2 linked regions of the Daphnia pulex genome follow. Each later gene encodes a partner of the first gene's protein in a complex. Links are inferred from orthologs where the notes say so. Each region holds a gene or a part of one and is shown on either strand. Other genes may lie near its edges.

Region 1 (8,905 bases):
ATCAAGTTATTCCTGTCGAGGGCCTGTTTTCAGCGCCATAAATCTACGTATTAATAATACTCTCTCATACGTTCCTCTATATGTGTTTATTATTCTCCCAGTTCGACTATTTTTTATTTTATTTTTTCCCCCCTCTCTCATTCCTCCTTTCGGTTAATCCTTCTGGCTCTCCGCCGGGATTTGGCGAGATATCATAACCCTTAGGACCCGAGTTGCTGCTGGTGAAAGGAGTTTACAATTGCATTGCGTCGATCCCATTCGGGCTTGTCACGCACTGTATATCAGACTGGGTTCTGTCTCCAGTTGAGCCACTCGACAACCCAATTATACTCTGAGTATATACTGTTTCAAATGTCGTCCAACAACAGAGGAAAACAAACTTGACTTATTTGAACGGAACAGCCTCATTCGTGCTGCTGCTGCGTTCTTCTTTTATTTATTTGCCTTCTTCAAATCCATTTTCTCGGCGGTTCCGCTTTACTTTCGATCTCTCTTCTTCTTTCTATATGACTAGACAGTTCCCAGGATGGATGGTATAAGACCTTGGCAATGTAACGATGAGCGTTGTCCAAAATCAATTACCGGCTACAGATGTTAAGAAATTTGTGAGCGAATAGCTTTCCAGTTACAATGTGCAGGCTACACAAATAACAAGCCTGGCCGAGATTGCAATTGGGTCATCATTCGTGCTGCTCCGTCTTCTAGATCCCGTCTCTGCAGAAAATGCTTGAGTTTCCAAAATGTTTTCGAAATGCTATGTCTTTGTCTTGAAATGTCATTATTTCGTTTTATTGCGTGATTGTCCTGGAAGAAAGTTGTGCGGGAGAAGGAAAAACAAAAAGTTGAAAAGGACAATGGGGTATTAATAGTTGTTCGTGCTGCTCTTCGTCCACTAGTTTCGTGGCGATCTGCATTCACAAGAGTATACCTCCACACGGACGATTTACATACTACATCTAGATTCAATTTGTCGTCTAGAAGAAGGTTCGGACTGGCTGTGCAGCAAAAGATATTGCCCAGTTCGGCATTCGTGAATAACTTCAGGGACAGTGGTCACTACTAAGGGCTCGGAAAGGAAAACTTGATAGATTAATTACTAGGACTCACCAATTTATAGTTATTGGTAAATACAATTATTTAGATTTTAATTAGCTACAGAGCATATCCGGATCGCGCCATAGGGGACGTAAACGTCACAGACAGGCTACGGTAAACATCTGGTAAACATCTGATAGGATTGGCGATGCCATCAAGTGAATGAGAATGACACTACTTTAGATTCGCTTTGGCAACATAAAATTATACCGCAACCTCTTTATTGATTTAGCATTGTGAGCTGAGTGACTGAGTCTGACGTATTCGATGGTCGTATTCAAGGACCTCTGACTTTCATGGATCCTGTGGCAACTGCGTGGCCTGCGTCATTTCTTTGTCATTTATTTATATTCGTACAGGCTAACTGCATTGAATAATTTCGGTAGGATATTAACGGTGGTGAGCTGGTGCCGATGCACTTTATTTAATAAGGGGCTGCGAGCCTGCGACAGTCTTCAGCATTTTTTATTTTTTTTTAATTTGTTAAAATTTGTGTGTCATAATTTACTTGACTGGCATCGTTGCACTTGCACTGTTTATCCTGCTGCTCCATCCATCATTTGAATCGTCTGTACTTTCTGTACTCTGTAAACGTAATCGCTATCTTGAAAGCAAAGCACATGGTTCGATTATTTGTAGACTAAATTTTTGATTGGGTTGTATGGATTTTTTACTTACTCATATAACTGAATTGATCCAATTGATTTCAAGAAAAGTTTTATGATTTTCCCTTCACTACGTGTTGAAGAAGATTTATTTAGTATCTTCCTGTAAATATGAATTGCCAATTGCCCCACAATATATGGAGATCTCGTACATTTGAGAGAAAAGGCTACCACGATCGTGATGCAACTAATGAGGATCAGTTTAATTTTGATTCCTATATTACCTGTCCAAGAATCAGTTTCTTAGAAAATGGTCTCTTGCGTAACAATACAGTAGAGAACTGGCCTGATTTGATGGATTTGGATGAACACATTACACTGCCTACACCATTGCTACCACCTAATGCTTCTGTAAAATGTGGAAGAGGTAAATGTGGAACTTGTTTGGCAACTAGCGTAAGCTGTTTTTATTAACATTTTATTCCATCATTAGGTCCTGTTGTACGAAGTGTAAGCAAAAAGGATGAGCTCAATCACTTTTTATTCAAAGAAACTCTTGCACATGAATGCAGACTGCTCATAAGAAACAGCAAAGGTGAAATTAATCTAAGTACATTAAAAAATAATTGGAAAAAGTTTATCAAGAGAAATGAAATTCCTGAACCTGAAAGAAATTTAGTAACAATTATGGACAGATATGGATGTGATGAGGTATTCAATTTAAATAGTCTCCAAATTATGTTCTAATCATTCGAATTTTGTTTTCATTTTAGCCTCCAACAGAAACATATGCAGGTGGAAATTTAGCTATTGTGTGGTTGCAAAATGAAAGATATTTAGTACACTCAGCGATGGAACCATTTGATTGTCAGATGTGTAAGAATTATATCATGTTGTGTATTTATTGCAGCCAGTTTTAATTTATCTGCCCATTTTAGGTTTGACTCGAATGACGGCAGATGACATGAAGAATCATCCCTTGGAATCCGTGAGTACAAAAACGCCATTCAATGATGGAACGGTGTACCAAATAGCTGTTCCCCGCCAAAGTGGTTGTTGGGATCCATCTTTTCAGCAACAAAACGGTACAACTATTGGTGTGTTATTTGCATTAAATAGATGTGTATCATATCGATTGTCTGTGTATGAAGAAGATCCTCTATTTGCGACACGTCAGTTTCATACGACACGATTGTGGAAGGTTGAACAGAGGGAAACGGGAAGTCTGCCCATCATTACCAATGTGCAAGAGTGTTCCGACCCGTCTTCTACTGTGCGTTACGTCGAATTCAATCAGTTTGATTGTGGAGAGTTTTGTGAGTTGCGCTCTCAAGAAATTAAGATTTCAGAAAGAGGGTAAGGTTTAGCCGTTTAATCAATGTTCACAAATTTGTTTATTTTAAAAATTCATTCTGATGCTTACAGGTTATTAAAATATCAAAGAGCAGTGTATAAAAAGTACGACAGTTGTGTGTACGTGAACCATAAGATACTTCTCTTTAGTTCCAGTCGTACACTTGACTTACTCGACGTCCGGTGTAAAAATACAGAGAATTTACAGCCTATTTTCTCCATTGATGATCAAGGAATGCGGTTGTTTTATAACATGCCTCCACTCGAAACAATTGTTAGCTGTTCAGCAAGCTCTCGTGATAACGTAAGTGAAATTTATAATTAATTTTACTTTAGTTGGGATATTTAATAACCTACAACCACTTTTTGCAGGTTTATCTAATATCTACCGGGAAATCACTTCTAGTCTGGGATATAAGATGTGGAAGCCGCCTACTACATCGGGCGGAACACCTACTTGAAAGCCCTCCCGATTGGATTTCGACTGTTCAACTCGGCCCTGATAAAGATTGGATTTTCCTCGACTCTCAGAACCCTGCTTCATCTGGAATGGTCGGTCTGAGCTGGAACAACCAAGAAAATTGTCTAGATTTAATGAACGATTTGCCGGTTGTTTCTGTTGAATTTGAACCGAGAATACGTTGGAGTGTCCTCGACACCTTTGGAGCTATCCAGCAACGAGGTCTAGGACTCGATTGGTCAATCCAAAATCGTTTTAAGCAAATGCGGAGTGGAATTGCTTGTGACAAAGATAGTGATGGAACAATTCAAATCTGGCAGTGTACTGTTGCCGGTGACTTATTTTCTCAGCAGTTGAACCCAAGTAAAAGAATAGGACCTAGTGAGCAAAAAGCTTCGCATCTTTTCTTCAGTCAGCTGAGCGATTGGACCGAAGCTGTTGAGCAGATTGAGGAATTGAACGCCTCGTTATCACAAAATCTATTTGATCAAACCGAAGAGTGTGACGCAGAAAAACTTAAAGACAGTAATAATTACATAAAGCTAAATCACGTTATTCAATTTTAAATAACTGTGAATACAATTGATGACAATTTTTAGGTATACAGAAAACTTCAGAAGAAGTGGAAGAAGAAAACTTTGGGAGTTTCCATATGCCGGCAATATTTAATCACAAATATACTTCAATGCCTGACGCCCTTGAAATGGACTGCCCTGAGGACAAAACACGAAACATCGATGGGCAAGGCGCAGGTCTCAACAAGGAGTGGATGGAAGAAAGAAATCCTGGGCCATGTTCCCAGAATTTCTTACCAGATGACACGTTCGCGTTAGACTTCCAGGATGACCTCATCTCATCTACACCCTTTCAACCGATGCAAAAGACACACGGGGCTGCACCTTTACCTGGCTTTCTCATATCTTCAACCCCTGCAATACGCGCAGTCAAACCCAATTGTTTTCCTTCGCCTAAGCGTAATCTTACCTCGACTCCATTTCGACACCAAACCCCTCAAACCCCTCAAACCTGGAACGCTCCATCTCAGTATCAAGCCCCTCAAAACTGGAACGCTCCATCTCAGCATCAAACGCCTCAAAACTGGAACGCTCCATCTCAGCATCAAACCCCTCAAAACTGGAACGCTCCATCTCAGCATCAAACCCCTCAAAACTGGAACGCTCCATCTCAGCGAAAAAGTGTTAAAAGGACTCAGGAATGGGACTTTTAAATCCCCCACCCCCTGATATTATGTAACAGTTTTTCAAATTTCTTCTGTTCATGTACTCAAAGATAACACTTCAGTAATACATTTCAGTTCAAGTTAAATATGGTTAAGATATTTGTACAACCAATATTTTTTAACATTGGAATGAAATAAATACAATAAATTTCCTTTTCCATTATTTGAATGTATTTGAACTAGTATTAATTATAGACCTCAATGAGGTTTAACAGCACTTGATGGATACTCTTCTCGCTGATGATACGACTCGTACATGTCATCAACGTAAAACCGTCTCTTTCTCCAGTATTTCGTTACCATTTTGTCAAGAAGAGTTGACTGGGTAGCATTACAAAATACATGCTTTTCACCCCGAATCTTCCTTTTTGCTGTTTTGCTCCAGTGACGTTTACTGTGTCCCACCATTGGCCTTATCCATGCACCCCTAAGAAAACATAATGAATATAAATAACCAGGAATGAATAAAATATATTACCATCCTAAACGATAGAACCTAGAAACAACAGCTTTAACTGTTTTGCGCTTCCCTTTTTTGAGTGACCATTTTGTAACTGATCGGGTTTGCTGCAAAGAGGGAGTAGTTCTGCAAGAAAGTAAGCTTAATTTGTGTGCTTAATAAAATTTAAATTCTTGCTTACAATGACAGATTTTGAAGCAATGGGGAAATAGATGATAATATACTTGGGGTAGCATTCATGGAAGGGTATTGGACACACCGAAAAGTTGATTCTGACGAACCCGAAAAAAACCTTGATGTGCTAGGCAGCAAAATTTTTGCTTTGACTGAAACGACATTTTTAGAAATTGGTGAATAATTCGCCAATCGAAAAGCCGATTGAATAACGTTTTTCAAAGTAAACATTTTAGATTTTTATTTTTCTTGAATCGGGAGAAAATTATTTTCAGTGTTCGTTCGTCTGCTTAATTGAATCTTTTCATGCACGATATCGATATACAAATTACAAAGGCCAGGTCTTTAAAAGGTTTTTAGCAACTTTCATTGATTTTTATTAAATTAAAAATTAAATTAGTTTCAAATTTTAGTGGATCATGAATCATTACTTTTAAGTTGTAAATTTTTGCTTTGAAACCATGAGTATGAAAATTTGGCAACACAGTTGACTCCATGTTGAAGCGATTTTAACGTCTGTAACATTCATTCTATAGCATCCTTTCACCCTTGCCGAACGGACGCAAACTAATTATTCACGAACTATCGTGCTTTTTCACACTTCTGATTTCTAAAAAAATGGAGTCTAAAGGCAGACGTGTTGTCCAACAGATGCCGGATGATTTAACTAATATTGAATTTGAAACGAGTGAAGATGTCAATGTTATTCCCACATTTGACAGCATGGGCCTCCGTGAAGACCTGCTAAGAGGAATTTACGCTTATGGTACGTACAAATGAGACTTTCACTTGTTGAGACCTTGCTCCATTATTCACATTATCCTTAACCTACATGATTTTTAATGTTGAGGTTGGCTTTAAATGTTTCTATAGGATTTGAAAAACCATCAGCTATTCAGCAGAGAGCAATTGCCCCAGTAATCAAGGGGAGAGACGTTATTGCCCAAGCCCAATCCGGTACTGGCAAAACAGCCACATTTTCAATTTCAATTCTTCAGAGTCTTGAAATTCAAACAAGAGAAACTCAAATATTGGTTCTAAGCCCCACTCGAGAGTTGGCAGTTCAAATTCAGAAAGTATGTTATGGCATTACTTTCTGTAGTACAGTGTTTTCATTTAGCTTGTGTTTAGGTTATTCTGGCTCTTGGTGATTACATGAATGTTCAATGCCATGCGTGTATCGGCGGCACTAATGTTGGAGAGGATGTTCGAAAATTGGACTACGGTCAGCACATTGTTTCTGGAACCCCTGGACGTGTATTTGGTATATTTTGCTATTTCTGTTTGTTAAGTTTGGATTGATGATAAGTGTCTTGATAACTCTACAGATATGATTCGCCGACGTACACTAAGGACACGTTCAATTAAAATGTTGGTCCTGGATGAAGCCGATGAAATGTTAAATAAAGGGTTCAAGGAGCAAATTTACGATGTCTACCGTTACCTTCCTCCAGCAACCCAAGTATGTTTTATGATATTTCATAAGAAAAACCAATTAAATCAATCTTTTATTCAAGGTGGTTCTTCTTTCAGCCACATTGCCTCATGAAATCTTGGAGATGACCAGCAAATTCATGACAGATCCCATTCGCATTTTAGTCAAACGGTAAACGTTGTTAAAAGTCTGCTTGTTTTTTATTACTAATTATTTTATGTGGTTTAGTGATGAGTTGACACTCGAAGGAATCAAACAGTTCTTTGTCGCTGTCGAAAGAGAAGAATGGAAGTTTGACACGTTGTGCGATCTGTACGACACACTGACAATCACGCAGGCGGTTATTTTTTGTAATACTAAACGCAAGGTTAGTCACGATTAAATCTCTTCTATTGTTGATTTCGATGTAACACAGTTAGATTGATTTTAGGTTGACTGGTTGACGGAGAAAATGCGTGAAGCGAATTTTACCGTTTCTTCAATGCACGGAGACATGCCTCAAAAAGAGCGTGATACTATTATGAAAGAATTCCGTAATGGTCAGAGGTATTGAAATTTTCGTCTACCATATAACCATTCAGAGTAATAACAATTATTCGTTTATTCTAGCCGAGTTCTTATTACAACTGACGTTTGGGCTCGTGGTATTGATGTTCAACAAGTTTCGTTGGTCATTAACTACGATCTCCCTAACAACCGTGAGTTGTACATCCATCGTATCGGTCGTTCTGGCCGATTCGGACGTAAAGGTGTTGCAATTAACTTTGTCAAGAATGACGATATCCGTATTCTCCGCGATATCGAACAGTACTATGCTACACAGGTTGACGAAATGCCCATGAATGGTAAAATATTTTTAGCATGTTTTTTTTTAACTCTTTCTAAATGTGTTTGTTTTTAATCAATTTCAGTGGCTGACCTCATTTAATCTATAATCCATTTCGGAAAAAGGAAAACAAAGAAGTTGATGCGTCATGTTTTTATTTTGCTGGATTTTTTTTTTCTGTATCCCCGAAGATTTGGACTAAATATATGAAACTTGTGGCCGTTTAATTAATTGTCTTGTTCCATTGTTGGAGTCTAAAAATGACGTCTACTTTACTCGTAGATCTGAAGTAATATATGAACCTTTTGCTCATGAGTTATGACTTATTGACTTATGAGTTATGACACAGTATTTATAATAAGGCATGTTGATTTTTTTTACTCACTTTGAAAATACTTGCGACAATTCGAAACCAGTATTTGAAGGACGTTCCAAATTCCAATTACAAAGTTAGATTTGTTGTATCTCTAGTAGCTGAACAAAAGCTAGAAACTAGCTGAAAACTTGGTTGCTGAAACCCAGTACCCCACATTTCCTTTTTTCTGTTTGAAAACAGTTTTGGTCTGCTACAGTTCGAAGCACCCGGTTGTTGCTTGTTGGTGGGTGATGAAATCATTTGTCACCTCGTCAACAATGTCTTTTTCAACTAATAATTTAATACGTTTTGGCTCCGGCACTTCTAATTTATTGAGAATACTTGGTAATAATCAAATAGGAGCTGGAAACGGTGTTACTAGTCGATCCATTCAATTGTCGTCAGGAGATCAATCATCTTTGGGTATTTCATTTTACACCTCGTTAATCAAATTACGATGATTATTTATTTTTTTAGACACATTTGCTTCTTTTTCCAGCACATTACAATGTTCTATGTTTTTTATTCCAGGTTCTCAAACTCGCAAAAGATTTTACAAAAAAGTCAGCACTGTCCAATCAAATAAAGATTTTGAAATCATTCTTGACAATAGAAAACTTAAAACTCCTGCAGGTAGTGTATTTCGTGTTTCCAGTGAACCATTAGCTCTAGCTGTTGCTAATGAATGGGATGCCCAGGAAGAAAAAATTTTAGTATCGTCAATGCATCTTGTGAGTTATGGTAAAAGTTTTCTTATTGCTTACCAATCTTGCTTACAAGTTTTCTTTCAAATATAGACATCTCTTGTTAACACTATCCTGGATAATCCAAACAAATTACGAAAACAAGATATTGTCAGTCACATTCTTACCTACCTAGACAATGATACACTTTTGTGCAGG
Region 2 (7,890 bases), on another chromosome or scaffold:
GTGGAATCACGCAAAGTGTTTCAAGGCGATAATTATGAGCTTGCTCAATTCATTCATCGTTATGTATTTGTTCCGATTGAGGTATACTATAGTGATTACTTTGTTAGTGAGACAGACCCGTATGATGTTACCGACCGTTTTGAGCAAGACAGGTAGACAAATCTATTTCGTGACATTAGATAAACGTGTGTATATAGTATGCTAAAGGTGAAAGAACATTTGTTTCGCAGTAGCTGCTGTTGACCAATGTTTCGATTTGACATCGAACCGGTATAACCGAATATCTATAATATCTTTGTGAAGTGACGAAATTTAACCTTTCTTTATCTTTTTCTCATATGAAAACTTTTTACCGTGTTTTACGCATCAGAACCCGGCTAAGATCACGGTTCAAGATTTTGAAATACAGAAATGGAATCTTGTACAAATAATATAATGTTCGTTGGACCGGATTTCTTTCCGCAAATAAAAGACGTCACCTCTTTGGTGAATCAATTTCCCGATAGTGATTCTACATATGTCCTAGACGAAACTGTCCCTTCCACCATTCGATAAAATGGCGCTGTCCTCACAATATTTTATTTTAAAAAAATTAAAAATATAATTTATGTGACAATGAGACAGGGAAGATGATCGCCACTCAAATTTCTTTCAAAATAAATAAAAACAAAGATAGAAGATTTGCGCAAGTCAGGGAGCCTTTGTTTAAGTAAACACAAATGTACCATTGTACCTAGTGTGAATGTTAACCGTCAGCTTTAGTTTTGGAAGGGTGGGCGACATTAGATGGCGCGTCTCTTAAGTCATCGGTCAGACCGCGTTCACGACCAAGTCATTATGCATAAGAGAAATATCGTGATAAATTAACTTTGGGACTCTCAGGTTAATTTTTAAAAATATGGCAACACCTTAAATCTGCCACTGTTTACCAAAAATTTTAAAATCAAGGGAGGAACTTAAGTGAGGATGTAATCAAAAATGGCAGATTGAAATCGTTGAAATATCCTTTTTTTAAAATCTATAGCCTTCTTCAGTCAAACTGGTAATGGGCGGTGTTTGTATAGTTGTACAATCCCCGTGTCCAGAAGCTTGATGAGGAAACAAGAGAAGTAACTGACAACTTCTGCTGCCAAGCTGCACAGCCAGCCATCTCCACCGTAAACGCACGTCAAGAACAGGTCAAGAAGTGTGATAGACTCATTTAAAAAGGGTAATATTAAACCCCCCAGAAAATTATGAATAGCACATACCATCGAATTTAAGTACATACTACCATAAATGATGAGGAATAAGAAAAGGTCAAACAACACGATTGAGATTATATATGGGACAGAACCCGATTTATTGAGAAAAAGAACGAATGAAAAAAAAATTAAAAAACCGAAGCTAATAATGAAAGAAACTGAACCAGCCCTACAATCGATAATGGTCAACTTGCTCGGCTGTCTCCATCGTAACTTACCGTAAAGAATTGGTGGACTCATTTAAGGGTAATTAAACCCCCTGTCAAGGTAGTCAAATGTTACACTGACATGTAGGGTGAGGACAACCTACTTCTCTGACTGTTAGAGGAGTTGTATTGTGTAAGCACTTTCGTACTTCCCAATGACAAATCATCTTGTGCAGTTCAAAGTATATTCAGAAGTCCCCACGCACAACAGCGACACACCAACTCCATTGACAGGTTCACCCACCATTCCCTTCCGGATTGTTACGAGGAGGGAGCGTCATCACAAATCAACAAATATCAATCGCAAGACTGACATTCAGCTTCTAACATTACTTAACTTCGGTAAAAAAACACAAAAAAACAAAAACCAAATCAACTGCAACTCATCCAAAGAAAATCGAAGATTAAACATAAGGGCGGCTTTAATTCCTGTAACGTTTCCGTTCTTCAAACGCTTTATAATCCCACATTTTCTTCTCTGTTTTCTTGATCTCCGTCATGTCTAACCAGCTGTCGTATTGGTACCGAAGTCTCGGTTCTATTAATAAGTCCTTTGCACGATTAAGTGCCTGGCTTAGTCGGTTTGCCTTCATCAACGCTTTTTCAACATCATCTGTTTGTATCTGATTGACCTTGTCCGGATGGGCTTGTAGAATTTTCTCTTTGTAGGACTTCATGATTTTTTCGTCGGTGTCTGTCCTTTTCACGTTCAGAATCTTGTAGTAATCTGGTAGCGCGTAAGAGCTGAGCTCTAGTTCGTCCACAGTGTCGTTCAATTCGCAGTTTTTCTGTGTCAACTCGGCAACCCTAGACTCCAGCTGCATCAAGTGTTCGTTTTGTTCATCGATTACTTTTGAATACCTCGTATCCATTTCTTCCATCTCAGTGCGGTGGTTTTCTTCGCATTCATCAATTATAGAGTACAACTCTGAGATAATTTCTTCAAGTTCATTGTTTTTGCAGTTTCTGTTGTTAAGCAAAGTTTGGTAGTATTGTCGAATTTTTCCGACGCTTTCCTGGTGGTCGCTTTCTAACTCCTGGATTTTCTTCTTTGACAAGGCTTTTTCTTCCTCAAGTTCTTTTGCTTTGCTGTCTAGTTGGAGGACAAGCTTTTCGTTTGCGCTTTGAAGAATATTACGGGCAGCGTGGAACCCTCTCATCTTTCGTTGCATAGATGTATTATGAGCGCATATCTTTTTGTACTGATCTTCAAGTTCCTCAATCCTGTTATCAACGACCGTCGTAGGAAGTTGCACATCCACGGTTTGAGTCGACTTATCCTCCTGTTCCGGGACTAGTATCACGTTGTTCTGTGCTAGTGCGGACTTGGTGTTGGCAGGATTAAAATCATCAACGTCGTCGACATTCAGTGCTGATTGGTTGTTCTTCAGGTGCGAGATGGTTTTCTCGAAGTTGGTGATGTCTCGATTTTTGGCATACAGTTCACACCTGGTAGAAATTAGCTCGTCACGTACCTCGTCATGTTCTGAGCTCAACGTGGAAAGTTCAAGTTTCAGTTGGATAACTTGATTTGCCAAACGTTCATTGTCTCTTTTCAACTTGCCATTCTCCTCTGTTTGGAATTGCTCATCGGGAATGCTGGTTGTTGTTAGCATTTCCGAATCCACTGTGAGCCGCTGTCTGGTGTCTTGACAAACTTCCGGTTCAACATCGACGCTGTTTGGGTATTCAGCTGATGAATGCTGATTTTTGGTACTAGGAGAAGATTTTTCGGTAAAATATTTCACCCAAACCCAAATCACAACGATTTCCAATAAAAGACCCATCTCGAAATATCTGCTGAAAACTTTTGTAAACCAAAACTACTAAGCAGTCTTATTATCTGTTGGCGTTGACTTGGGCTTTATATAACCTGCCATGGGAATCATTACTTATGCAGGGCTGTTTTTTCCTTCTTTTTCTTTCACCTCTTATTAGGTTTTTTCTTTTTAACATTCGTACTGAACTTAAATCATAGTTTATAAATTTGCGCATGTTATTCAATTAGTGTGAAGTTGATTGAAAATAACTATCAACTCTTTTTTTCCATTTTAAAACTCAGCATTGTGCTCGAGAAAAGTCGAGATTACGGTTTGCCTGGTTTGAAAATGCGACAGAGCGCCTGGGCGGTAAATTTGCAAACTAAATAACTTGTCTAAACTTGAATTCGTCGATGAAATTTATTCGGTAAATTAGTCAAATCGTCAAATTACCAAGTATATTTATTAAATTTGAGTTAAAACCCGGTTTAAACCACCATGGTTTTTTACACTGCAAAGCGAACGACATTGTAAAATGTGTTTAGGGATGAATGTTTCGGCTTGTTTTGGAGAGGGGGTAACCAGCAGTAGAACACAAGCGAGTAGCGTGGGTTGTTTCACTGAAATTTACAAATCGTAATTTATTACACAAAATGCCGAAAAGCGAGTTTTATTTACGATATTATGTTGGGCACAAGGGAAAATTCGGCCACGAGTTTCTCGAGTTTGAATTTAGGCCTGATGGTAACTAAATATCATGTTATTTGATGTCACATTTGCACCTTTCACTAAATACCGGGTCGTCCTAATTTCTTTTTAGGCAAACTGAGATACGCCAATAATTCCAATTATAAAAATGACACCATGATCAGAAAAGAGGTAATTTCAACAAGATATATGTTTATCAAGATCTGCAACATTTGATTTCTTTCTTTAGGCATATGTTCATCAAAGTGTTTTGAATGAGTTGAAACGAGTTATCGAAGACTCTGAAATTCTTCAAGAAGATGATTCCCTGTGGCCAACTCCTGATCGTGTTGGAAGACAAGAGCTTGAAATTGTCATGGGAGATGAACACATTTCATTCTCAACATCAAAGATTGGCTCCCTTGTAGATGTCAATCAATCAAAGTAAATCTATATTATTTTGAAACCAGTAAATTAGTTTAATTTCCCTTAATATTTTACAGAGATGCTGATGGATTACGTGCATTTTACTATCTGGTCCAGGATTTGAAGTGTCTCGTGTTCTCTCTCATTGGTCTCCACTTCAAGATCAAACCCATTTAAAGATTTTGACTGTGATGTGTATTGTCAAATGTCAATTTTCCATCTAACTATCCCATATGGTGTATGATTTTTTTTTGTCCAAGTAATAAAAAAGGATTTCTTGAAGAATTTTGTTTTAGTACTCAAACATGACAAAGTGTAGTGTATTCATGAACATATATTCTTTTTATAATCAGACAAAAATGAAAAGTGAAGGATACTGATTTTTGACAACAGAAGGGTGTTAATTTGGGTGTGTAATGTTATCAATAGAAACCCTGGAGGATGAAAGCCGTTGTTTATAGATTTTTCATGAGCTATCTTGTTCGAGATATCTACATTACGGGACCTCGCTAGAATGTAGAATGAATATGATTAAAAAACCGGTTAAACGTCCTTGCGAATAGGAAAGATCGATTTTACGCAACAAATGCACGAGACCTGGCGATACTGGCTTATGGCATTTCTTGTAAATGCGTAAATAAAACTAACTGGCCTACTTTTTTCCAACATATTTTGCAATACTTTCAACTGAATTATTTCCTCAAATATTTTCCGAACCGTTAAATGAAATGAGTCAATGTCAATGACACATCACATCCCACGCTATTTAAATGTCCTAAGCTCTCTCCCCTGCCTACACTGAAAATGTTAACAACTAACTGAAATAGATACAATTTGACCTTAAATTTTAAATTTTATGATTTCCAAATCATTTAGTAATGGAACCAAGTTTAATTCACTTTCTTTAAAAAAAAGTTAAGTAAAATAAACTTGTCAAGTTCAACCTGAGCAATGTGTGTTTAGGGTAGGTGTGTTGCAAAAGAAATTGCCTACCCTAGGTTTCCATTCCTTTGCTTCCGTTTTGCGGATCGTTCTGCCTTTACGTTTTTTTGGCTGTCTGTTGAAACATGTCATACTCGAACGATAACAGGTACTGCTGCCGATTTCGTGGTTTATTTGTCTTTTTCGTGTCGTTTAAGTTTCCAAAGATACGTCCTTAGTCGCTTTAATTAGTGCTGTTACTCTGGAATTTATTAGATCAGTCATTCCTTGAGAGTTAAACGTTAAAATTTGGGATTTTGTCACGAGTGCCCCGGCTGGTACATCATGGCGGCGTGGGGTTGATTCATTTTTTGCTAAATGCTTTAACTGAATTAATATGGAGTTATTTTATTGTGTCCTGTAGTAATATTCATTGTGATAGTTGTAATCATGTGGTTTCATTTAACATTCTATGGTCTTCCACATATGCAAGTTAACTCATTCTGAAATGTCTGTTTCAGGGAAGAGAATTGGAGCGGGAAGGCTCCCAAGAATGGGACTGAAGAACGTCCTGAAGGAGAGGCTGAGGACCGTGGAAACTATGATGGCCCACCAGGCATGGACCCTGACGGTGTCATTGAGTCCAACTGGGATAAAGTGAGTTCAAGGACACCAGAATCTCAAGTAGCATCGTAACATGAAACATTACTTTTTTTTACAGATTGTGGACAACTTCGATGAGATGAAGTTGAAGGAGAAGCTGCTGCGTGGTATCTATGCTTATGGTTTTGAGCGTCCCTCTGCCATTCAGCAGCGTGCCATCTTGCCCTGTATTATGGGTCATGATGTTATTGCTCAAGCCCAGTCTGGTACCGGCAAGACGGCGACTTTCGCCATCTCGTTGTTGCAGCAGATTGACATCGATGCCAATGAATGTCAGGCGCTCGTGTTGGCTCCCACTCGCGAGTTGGCCCAGCAGATTCAGAAAGTATGAGTCAAGTGGTTATGGGTTGAGTGAACTTGGATTTTAAACAGATTTCAACAACTTAGGTCGTTTTGGCCCTTGGTGACTACATGGATGCGCAATGCCACGCTTGCATTGGTGGAACCAATGTTCGTGAAGATCTTCGCAAACTGTCACAAGGTGTCCACGTCGTCGTTGGAACTCCAGGTCGTGTCTTCGACATGATCAACCGACGAGCATTGAGTAAGTCCATGATACCATCTTCTTCATTGTGTGCATTCGTTCATTGAAATTCTTTTCACAAATATTCAGAGACGAATTGCATCAAAGTCTTCGTGTTGGATGAAGCCGATGAAATGTTGTCTCGTGGTTTCAAGGATCAGATTTATGATGTTTTCAAGAATTTGCCCGCTGAAGTGCAGGTGAGTGAAAATGGCGAGTTAAAATACGTATAGAGTATCAATTTCGACTAATTTATCATAGGTCATTCTGCTTTCGGCCACGATGCCGGCTGATGTCATGGAAGTAACGAATCACTTCATGCGTAACCCCATCCGAATTCTCGTCAAGAAGGAGGAACTGACGCTTGAAGGTATCAAGCAGTTCTACGTCCAGGTAATGAGATTACAGTCTTTTTTATTTTTCATGAGCTCAAAGTGACACCGAGTGTTGATTAGGTTGAACGCGAAGAGTGGAAGTTGGACACGTTGTGCGACTTGTACGATACGTTGAGTATTACTCAGGCCGTCATCTTCTGCAACACTCGCAGGAAAGTCGACTGGCTTACAGAGAAGATGCACGAGAGGGATTTCACCGTTTCTGCCATGCACGGTGAGATGGAGCAGAAGGAGCGTGACGTTATTATGCGCGAGTTCCGATCTGGTTCGTCCCGCGTCTTGATCACCACCGATCTCCTGGCTCGTGGTATTGACGTCCAGCAGGTTTCCCTCGTGATCAACTACGATTTGCCCAACCATCGTGAAAACTACATCCACAGGTAAAATGAGGTTTGCTCGATGCGAAATTGTATTTGATATAATGGAAATTGTTTTTCTCTTCAGAATTGGTCGTGGTGGACGATTTGGTCGCAAAGGTGTGGCCATTAACTTCGTGACGGAGGAGGATTGGCGCGTGCTTCGCGACATTGAACAGTACTACAATACTACGATTGAGGCTATGCCCATGAACGTGGCCGACCTCATCTAAAACAAACAGAAAGAGACGATTTGTTTGCCCTTGTGCATCTTGGCCTGTGAGTATTTCGGAAAACTGCACCGGCTAAATCTCGGAAAACGATTCTTTTTGCAAAACGACTAGACGATAATTGAAAACAAAAAAGTTTGTGCTGCTGCTGTTGTTGGCGCACTCTCTATCACTCTCTCCTCTATACCCCCCAAACAAACAAAAACGCGAGCTATTGAAGATTTGAAAAGGCTTTCAACCAAGACCTTAACAAGCTCCCGGCGAGCCATTTTCAAAGTAGACGGAAGTTTTTTTTTTTTTTTTTTTTTGGTTTTCTTTATTTCTACCAATAATCAAGAAGTCGTATAATCGACATTCATTTTTCTTTTTTGTTCCTCACACTTACCAAACTTAGACTCATTATTTCCACACTAGTAGCGAATTGATACCTTCCATTTTATAATCGTAATTACCCACAATTTTTTTTTCTTGTTCTCGAG

What was found.
Region 2: eukaryotic initiation factor 4A-III (region 1) and protein mago nashi homolog share a complex: the UniProt entries of both Drosophila melanogaster proteins name them as parts of the mRNA splicing-dependent exon junction complex. The link is inferred for Daphnia pulex from reciprocal best matches to the Drosophila melanogaster genes CG7483 and mago.

The regions. Positions count from the first base shown.
Region 1 is NC_060018.1:3,383,772-3,392,676, reverse strand, and holds eukaryotic initiation factor 4A-III, read left to right. Parts: upstream 1-5,875; 5' UTR 5,876-6,005; coding exon 6,006-6,153; intron 6,154-6,260; coding exon 6,261-6,463; intron 6,464-6,518; coding exon 6,519-6,651; intron 6,652-6,715; coding exon 6,716-6,849; intron 6,850-6,904; coding exon 6,905-6,993; intron 6,994-7,050; coding exon 7,051-7,189; intron 7,190-7,252; coding exon 7,253-7,368; intron 7,369-7,431; coding exon 7,432-7,667; intron 7,668-7,733; coding exon 7,734-7,750; 3' UTR 7,751-7,875; downstream 7,876-8,905. Other genes in the region: uncharacterized protein LOC124188409, read left to right, coding at 1,872-2,127, 2,194-2,411, 2,474-2,576, 2,639-2,785, 2,852-3,056, 3,126-3,357, 3,426-4,038, 4,113-4,741; 39S ribosomal protein L35, mitochondrial-like, read right to left, coding at 4,952-5,180, 5,232-5,339, 5,395-5,618; ATP synthase mitochondrial F1 complex assembly factor 2-like, read left to right, coding at 8,255-8,426, 8,535-8,734, 8,801-8,905. UniProt on the Drosophila melanogaster protein: ATP-dependent RNA helicase. Core component of the splicing-dependent multiprotein exon junction complex (EJC) deposited at splice junctions on mRNAs. Involved in exon definition of genes containing long introns, including the rolled/MAPK gene.
Region 2 is NC_060025.1:2,830,881-2,838,770, reverse strand, and holds protein mago nashi homolog, read left to right. Parts: upstream 1-3,766; 5' UTR 3,767-3,863; coding exon 3,864-3,954; intron 3,955-4,030; coding exon 4,031-4,089; intron 4,090-4,147; coding exon 4,148-4,341; intron 4,342-4,400; coding exon 4,401-4,500; 3' UTR 4,501-4,608; downstream 4,609-7,890. Other genes in the region: uncharacterized protein MCAP_0864-like, read right to left, coding at 1,873-3,237; eukaryotic initiation factor 4A-I-like, read left to right, coding at 5,391-5,413, 5,766-5,901, 5,966-6,232, 6,295-6,451, 6,521-6,630, 6,692-6,823, 6,886-7,205, 7,270-7,414. UniProt on the Drosophila melanogaster protein: Core component of the splicing-dependent multiprotein exon junction complex (EJC) deposited at splice junctions on mRNAs. Involved in exon definition of genes containing long introns, including the rolled/MAPK gene.